2 linked regions of the Danio rerio genome follow. The protein of the gene in region 1 interacts with the protein of each later gene in a biochemical or structural test. Links are inferred from orthologs where the notes say so. Each region holds a gene or a part of one and is shown on either strand. Other genes may lie near its edges.

Region 1 (3,756 bases):
ATTCTGTCTGTGTTTGGAGACATCGCTCTCGCCATTGGAGGAGAATTCAAGAAGTACCTGGACATTGTGCTGGACACTCTGCAGCAGGCCTCGCAGGCACAGGTGGACAAGGTGAGCAGATGAACACACACACACACACACGGCGCTCAGTGTTTGACGATTGTTGTTGAACTTCTGTCTATTATCATCTGTGGTGCTGTGATGTCCTTCAGTCGTGTAGAGCAGACGTTCAGCGCTGCTCTGGGCTATCACTGATCTTAAACAGTTCAATGAGAAGATCTCCAGACCTGACCGCTGACAGCACACACACTGTCTGTCTGTTACACGAGCTGAGCTGTGTGTGTGTGTGTGTGTGTGTGTGTGTGTGTGTGTGTCTGCAGACGGACTATGATATGGTGGATTACCTGAACGAGCTGCGTGAGGGCTGTCTGGAGGCCTACACCGGCATCATCCAGGGCCTGAAGGGGGACCAGGAGAATGTGCACCGTAAGTGAACACACACACACACACACACACACTTCAGCATTGCATGGCGTGTGCGTAATGTGTGTGTTCTCCTGCGCAGCCGATGTGATGCTGGTTCAGCCGCGTGTGGAGTTCATCTTGTCCTTCATTCACCACATCGCAGAGGACGAGGACCGATCTGACGGAGTCGTGGCTAATGCTGTAGGGCTCATCGGGTGAGGCACATACACACACACACACACACACACACACACACACACACACTCGTACAGACAGACATTGTGCAGTAGTCTGACCCCTGTGTGTGTGTGTGTGTGTCAGGGACCTGTGCACCACCTTCGGGAAGGATGTGATGAAGCTGGTGGAGGTGCGTCCTCAGATCAATGACCTGCTGACTGAAGGCCGGAGATCCAAAACCAGCAAAACCAAGACTCTGGCCACGTGGGCCGCCAAGGAGCTGCGCAAGCTGAAGAGCCAAGCCTGGTGCGTGACCTCTGACCCCACAAACCTGCCTGTGTGTGTGTGTGTGTGTGTGTGTGTGTGTGTGTGTGTGTGTGTGTTAAAGCTGTTCACTCCAGTCTGAGGAGCACAGAGAGTGTGTGTTTCTCTGGCCCTCACTCTGCGAGTGTGTGACGTGTTGTTCTCCTGTGTGTGTGTGTGTGTGTGTGTGTGTGTTTCTCTGGCCCTCACTCTGCGAGTGTGTGACATGTTGTTCTCCTGTGTGTGTGTGTGTGTGTGTGTGTGTGTGTGTGTGTGTGTGTGTGTGTGTTCCTCTGCCCCCCACTCAGCATGTGTGTGACGTGTTGTTCTCCTCTGTGTGTGTGTGTGTGTGTGTGTGTGTGTGTTCCTCTGCCCCTCACTCAGCGTGTGTGTGACGTGTTGTTCTCCTCTGTGTGTGTGTGTGTGTGTGTGTGTGTTCCTCTGCCCCTCACTCAGCGTGTGTGTGACGTGTTGTTCTCCTGTGTGTGTGTGTGACGTGTTGTTCTCCTGTGTGTGTGTGTTCCTCTGGCCCTCAGTCAGCGTGTGTGTGTGACGTGTTGTTCTGTGTGTGTGTGTGTGTGTGTGTGTGTGTGTGTGTGTGTGTGTGTTCCTCTGCCCCCCACTCAGCATGTGTGTGACGTGTTGTTCTCCTCTGTGTGTGTGTGTGTGTGTGTGTGTGTGTGTGTGTGTGTGTGTTCCTCTGCCCCTCACTCAGCGTGTGTGTGACGTGTTGTTCTCCTGTGTGTGTGTGTGACGTGTTGTTCTCCTGTGTGTGTGTGTGTGTTCCTCTGGCCCTCAGTCAGCGTGTGTGTGACGTGTTGTTCTCCTGTGTGTGTGTGTGTGTTCCTCTCAGCGTGTGTGTGTGACGTGTTGTTCTCCTGTGTGTGTGTGTGTGTGTGTGTGTGTGTGTGTGTGTGTGTGTGACGTGTTGTTCTCCTGTGTGTGTGTGTGTGTGTGACGTGTTGTTCTCCTGTGTGTGTGTGTGTGTGTTCCTCAGCGTGTGTGTGACGTGTTGTTCTCCTGTGTGTGTGTGTGTGTGTGTGTGTGTGTGTGTGTGTGTGTGTGTGTGTGTGACGTGTTGTTCTCCTGTGTGTGTGTGTGTGTGTTCCTCTCAGCGTGTGTGTGACGTGTTGTTCTCCTGTGTGTGTGTGTGTGTGTGTGTGTGTGTGTGTGTGTGTGTGTGTGTGTGTGTGTGTGTGTGTGTGACGTGTTGTTCTCCTGTGTGTGTGTGTGTGTGTTCCTCTCAGCGTGTGTGTGACGTGTTGTTCTCCTGTGTGTGTGTGACGTGTTGTTCTCCTGTGTGCGCAGATCTCCGGCTGTGGAGTTTCTTCTTCTTCTTCTACCAGGACAAATGGAAATGAAAGCCCTGCGGTTCTTCTGTCTTTTAGAGCTGTGGACAGAAGTGCTTGTGCGCTGATGAGTGTGTGTGCGAGTGTGAGAGCGAGTGTAAGAGCGAGAGATTGACACACACCTTCAGTCCAGCTCCAGCAGAGGAACAGCGGCACACACCTCCACCTTCTCCACCTGCCCGCGTTCTCCATCCTGACCCGATCCTCCCCCCGGCCCGATCAGCTGCAGGACTGACCGTCACACACTGATTAGCAGACGGCGGCCGCGGGAACCTGCTGCTGGAGCCATGATGGCGTGACTGGAGTGTGTGTGTGTGAGTGAGCGAGGGCGGCGCTGTTTCCGCGTCGTCTCTCAATATTTCAACCAATAATAAATAAAGGTGATCAATATCTTGTTTGCGATTGAGTGAGCTGCTCTTGCGTTCCCTCGGCGAGCGGCAGTGGAGGCGTCCGGCCTCTCGTCACGGCTGCGCTACATTACTGGCCTCCTCCTCCTCCTCCTCCTCCTCTGTGTTTCTTTAATAATAGTGCTGATTGAGTAATGGTTCTCTTACCGGTGTGTGTTAGTATGGATGTGCGGATCGGAGCTTCACCTGCCCTGCCTAGGGAAGACTATTGCCACTACAGGCGCAGGCTCCGGCGGAGCGACGGGATATTAGACACCTCCACACGCGACTTTATTCTCCTTTATTTGTTTTGCAGGAAACTGAGTGCCAAACCCAGCGGTGCAGATGGACTTGAGCTTAATGTGTTACTCGTAGAAGATGCGAATTAATAATACACACGTCAGCGGCGGCGAGCCGAGCAGCATCCATGTGCTTTTGGTTGTAATTTTTTGTTTTGTTTTCCTCTTGCGGCACTTAATTGGAGTCATTCACCGAGCTTTTAAGAAGACGACGACGGACAGAATCAGACATTTGTATGAGGTTATATTTTTCCATTGATATGAAAATAAAGTTAAATTAAATCTTTCTGCTGTGTGTGTGTGTGTGTTGTGTCTTCAATAATGGCACATAAATGAGCAGCACACGTCCACAAGACCAGTTCAGGAAAATAATTTAATAATAAATACATTTAAATAGAACATTACAGCGCACCCACAGGGCACAACATGTGTTAAACACACAACATGTGTCGGTCAACATGTGTTAAACACAACATGTGTCGGCTACCAAAATAACAAATGTTCAAAACAATAAATATTAAATATATAAATATGTAGCGAAAGTCATGGTGTGTGTGTATGTGCGTGCAGTTAGCATTGAGACACACTGATGCAGCGCAGGCTGCGGAACACGTCCTGCATGAAGCTGCGCAGCTGCCGGAGTGTCGCGCGCACACGCACCTGCAGCTTGAACTGGCTGAGTGGAGCCGAGAGAGTGTGTGTGTGCGGCAACACCTGAGGACCAGCAGAGGGCACCTGGAGGAGGAGCTGCAGAACACAGAGCGCATTACACACCAG
Region 2 (3,656 bases), on another chromosome or scaffold:
GCAATACTACAGTAAAAATACTGTAATTTGATTGGCTAAACTGATCCCTTTAGCTGTTTTTTGACTGAATGATGTGTATGAGGCACTTTATAAACTGGTAATTAATTCATTACGCCACCGTTTTCAAAATTTCAACAGATATTATGCATTTCTTTTGCCTTTCAGTTTCGTCCGCAGTAATCTGTCTGTGTGTGTTTTTAGCATCTATTCAGTCAGATATAATGCTGTGTATGCTGCGTGCCAATATTTAATATTGTGCTCATTTCTCTTTTCTGCTATCTGTAATCTGGAGGTGTCGCTTTGAGCTGAAGGGAACATATTGTACCTCCTGCTGCTATGAAATCATTAGACTGTGTTTTCACTCTCTCTGTGTGTGTGATATAGCAACTGCTTCATTGATGGCAGGTCTAATGAATATTCTGTTGCGCTACAGCTGATTTCATGTTTACATGCGGTCTGCTTATTCAGTTTCAACTAAAAGATGTCTGTTTTTCTCACTCAGATTCTTCCTGCCCTCTGTGTACTCATATATCATACAGATATAAATGTAAGTACATGTCGCACTACTTCTTCCAAACAAAAAAGTGCTACTTTTAATTGGATAGTGCAGTAAATGTGGTTTAAGTGTCTAGCTCACCCAAAAGTGAAAATTCTACCATTATTTGCTCGCCATTCACTTGTTCAAAACCTATTTGGGTCACTTCTGTTGAGCACAAAATAAGATATTTTGAAGAATGCTGGTTGACTTTGTGCAGAAAGAAAGTTTAGAAGGGCTTTATTTTGCAAAAATGATTAGCTGACTAGATTAGCTTGGTTATTAAATGACTGCTTGCCGTACATATCAAAACAAATTTCATTTTGGATTAAAGAGCCCCTGTTTAGCATTGTAAAAGGTCATGTTTTGGTTTTGGGGGTCTCCAACAGCAGTCTGATATGCAATCTATATATAAAAATACTTTTATTAAAATATGCATTTATTTTGACCCAGTTATCCCAATGACTCCCATATGATTCGTTCAGCGATTCATTTGCTCTCAAACCCCTCCTTGGGATGAAGCTAATCTGCGCTGATTGGTCTAGTCTGTTGTGGTTGTTTTGTGATCTCGTGCATTCGGCAGGAGATGGAGAGAAGCGTCCAAGTAGTAGTCAGAGCACAGAATATATGTGTGAGCCCAATGCAGGAATGCATTAAAGCCATGCAGTTAAATATCAGCATATTACTCTGTTCTTAACCACAGCCCCAAGTAGAAACAATTCAGTACAGACACACTTTCAGTATTAATCTACACAGTGGCAAAAGTTGAACTATTTTGAAAATTGACTGCGTGTATGAAGAACAGCTGATTGTGGCCATAGCAACTATATATATATATATATATATATATATATATATATATATATATATATATATATATATATATATATATATATATATATATATATATAAAAATAAATAAATATGAAATTAAAAAAATTGTGTAATTTTGGACCCGGACATTATTGGAGTAGTTTTAGGTGCCAAATGTGTATTTGAAAAATGATCTATTGTCTTATTTTAGTGTTGCAAACGTTGTAAACTAAACATACATTTTCCTTTAGGCTAAACTTTTCCTAATATCTCACAAGTTTGTTGATAATTGTGCAGCATGATCACTTCATTTAATCTGAAGTTTATGCAAATGAAAACAGTCTGCGTTTCTCATTTAACGTCCTCAAATCTGCTGTTCTCTGCAGATTCTGGTAGACACAGTGTGGGCTCTGTCGTATCTGACAGATGGAGGTAACGAGCAGATTCAGATGGTAATAGACTCAGGTGTTGTCCCGTACCTTGTCCCACTGCTCAGCCACCAAGAGGTCAAAGTTCAGGTAAAAACACATGCACATTTATGAATCTCTGTACACTCTAAAACCAAAAGCTGGCTTCTAATGTTGTTCATGTATTGTCCGCTCAGACTGCAGCGCTGAGAGCGGTGGGGAACATTGTAACCGGGACAGACGAGCAGACTCAGGTGGTGCTCAACTGTGATGTTCTTACTCACTTTTCCACCCTGCTCACACACCCCAAAGAGAAAATCAACAAGGTGAGACACAGAAACACACATCACATCTGAGCCTATTTGTGTGAGGTTTACTCAAGATGATGAATCACAATTGCTTTACTTGGCTAATTTCATAAGTGACTCTAGAAATCTCTGCAGTCCCAGTTTAAACGCAGTGCCTTGTGTTTATTGTACATCTGTGATGCGTCTGCAGGAGGCGGTGTGGTTCCTGTCTAATATAACAGCAGGAAACCAGCAGCAGGTGCAGGCTGTAATAGATGCTGGTCTCATACCCATGATCATTCACCAGCTTGCCAAGGTAAGATGACTAGCACTTGGGCTACTGTACATTGAGTTAGTTTATATATATATATATATATATATATATATATATATATATATATATATATATATATATATAAAGCAGATTTAGAAACCTTTTTTGATGTTCAGTTCTGAAAACTGAATTAAATGGATGTGTAATACATCCTTCATACTAATTCTAGCTTGACTTAGGGCTGCATCATTTGGAGATAAAAATCCAGTTGCAATTTATCTGATCAACATTGCGATTTGTGATTTAAAATGTAATGTACTATCATTTCATAAGAGCTGCAGGTTTGATGTGGTGGTTTTAACAGCACCAAAGAAAGACTAGGCATAATCACGCTACACTATAGTGTAGCGTACTATAAGTAGGCTACACTATGCTTCTGTTTATTAAAACCATTTTTCACAATAAAGTTGTCAGTTGTCATGACAAATTCAGAAAATAGCTACAGTATTTTACATTCAATTTGATAAAGTGTATATAAAACTTTTACTTTTAGATTGATGCATTAGAATATTATAAATTACATGAAATCCAACCTGAACTCTCTCATAGAATTTTAAGACATTTTTAGACTAGATTTAATCAAGTGGTTATTACCAGATGTCGTATTGGGCATACGAGAATAAACTATGTTTTTTTGCCCCAAGGTGAAAACCCTACTCAGTCTTTGTGCTGCACAACTCCTCATTTTACTGGACTGTCCTGTTTTTAATGATTCCAGAAGAATTTTTTATGAAATAAACTCTCTTTAGGACATTTTTAGCAGTGACACCAGAAAAGATTTTAGAATTATTATCATGTATTAGTACTAAAAATCTTATTTAATTTATGTATTCATTTGTTTGTTTATTTTTAATTGTATATTTATTATTGAAATGTTCCTGCCATGAAAATAGCCGTGGGTGCTGACATGGCATTAAATAAAAACACATTACATTACTTTTAGATTGCAGTACATTCTTCATATAGATTTCATTACATTCACAGTGCACTTACAATGCTTTACATGCACAATTTTAGATTTTATTTCACAGCACAATAATTATTATATTTAAATCTCATAATAATTCATAAATATATTTATATATTTAACAATTTTGTCCTTTAATACAAGCAGTCAGATATGTGAACTGTACCCTTAATTTTACCTGCTCAAAGAAAACACAGTCTTTTTGAATGTTGCTCCAATACACGCACTGAACAACATGAGCATAAAAAGCAAATAAACAAATGTAAATATGAACTTATTGCTTTTTGAACGTTGTCGAGCAAGTTCTTAAAAA

The links. The genes of interacting proteins can lie anywhere in the genome.
Region 2: the proteins of kpnb1 (region 1) and kpna3 form a complex in vitro, tested with the Homo sapiens proteins (2 studies listed by BioGRID and IntAct, with this or other methods). The link is inferred for Danio rerio from reciprocal best matches to the Homo sapiens genes KPNB1 and KPNA3.

The regions. Positions count from the first base shown.
Region 1 is NC_133194.1:51,609,715-51,613,470, forward strand, and holds the end of kpnb1 (importin subunit beta-1), read left to right. Parts: coding exon 1-111; intron 112-380; coding exon 381-486; intron 487-565; coding exon 566-680; intron 681-786; coding exon 787-948; intron 949-2,253; coding exon 2,254-2,254; 3' UTR 2,255-3,266; downstream 3,267-3,756. Other genes in the region: csf3b (colony stimulating factor 3 (granulocyte) b precursor), read right to left, coding at 3,550-3,726.
Region 2 is NC_133176.1:49,979,115-49,982,770, reverse strand, and holds part of kpna3 (importin subunit alpha-4), read left to right. Parts: intron 1-502; coding exon 503-547; intron 548-1,734; coding exon 1,735-1,866; intron 1,867-1,952; coding exon 1,953-2,081; intron 2,082-2,253; coding exon 2,254-2,358; intron 2,359-3,656. UniProt on the Homo sapiens protein: Functions in nuclear protein import as an adapter protein for nuclear receptor KPNB1. Binds specifically and directly to substrates containing either a simple or bipartite NLS motif.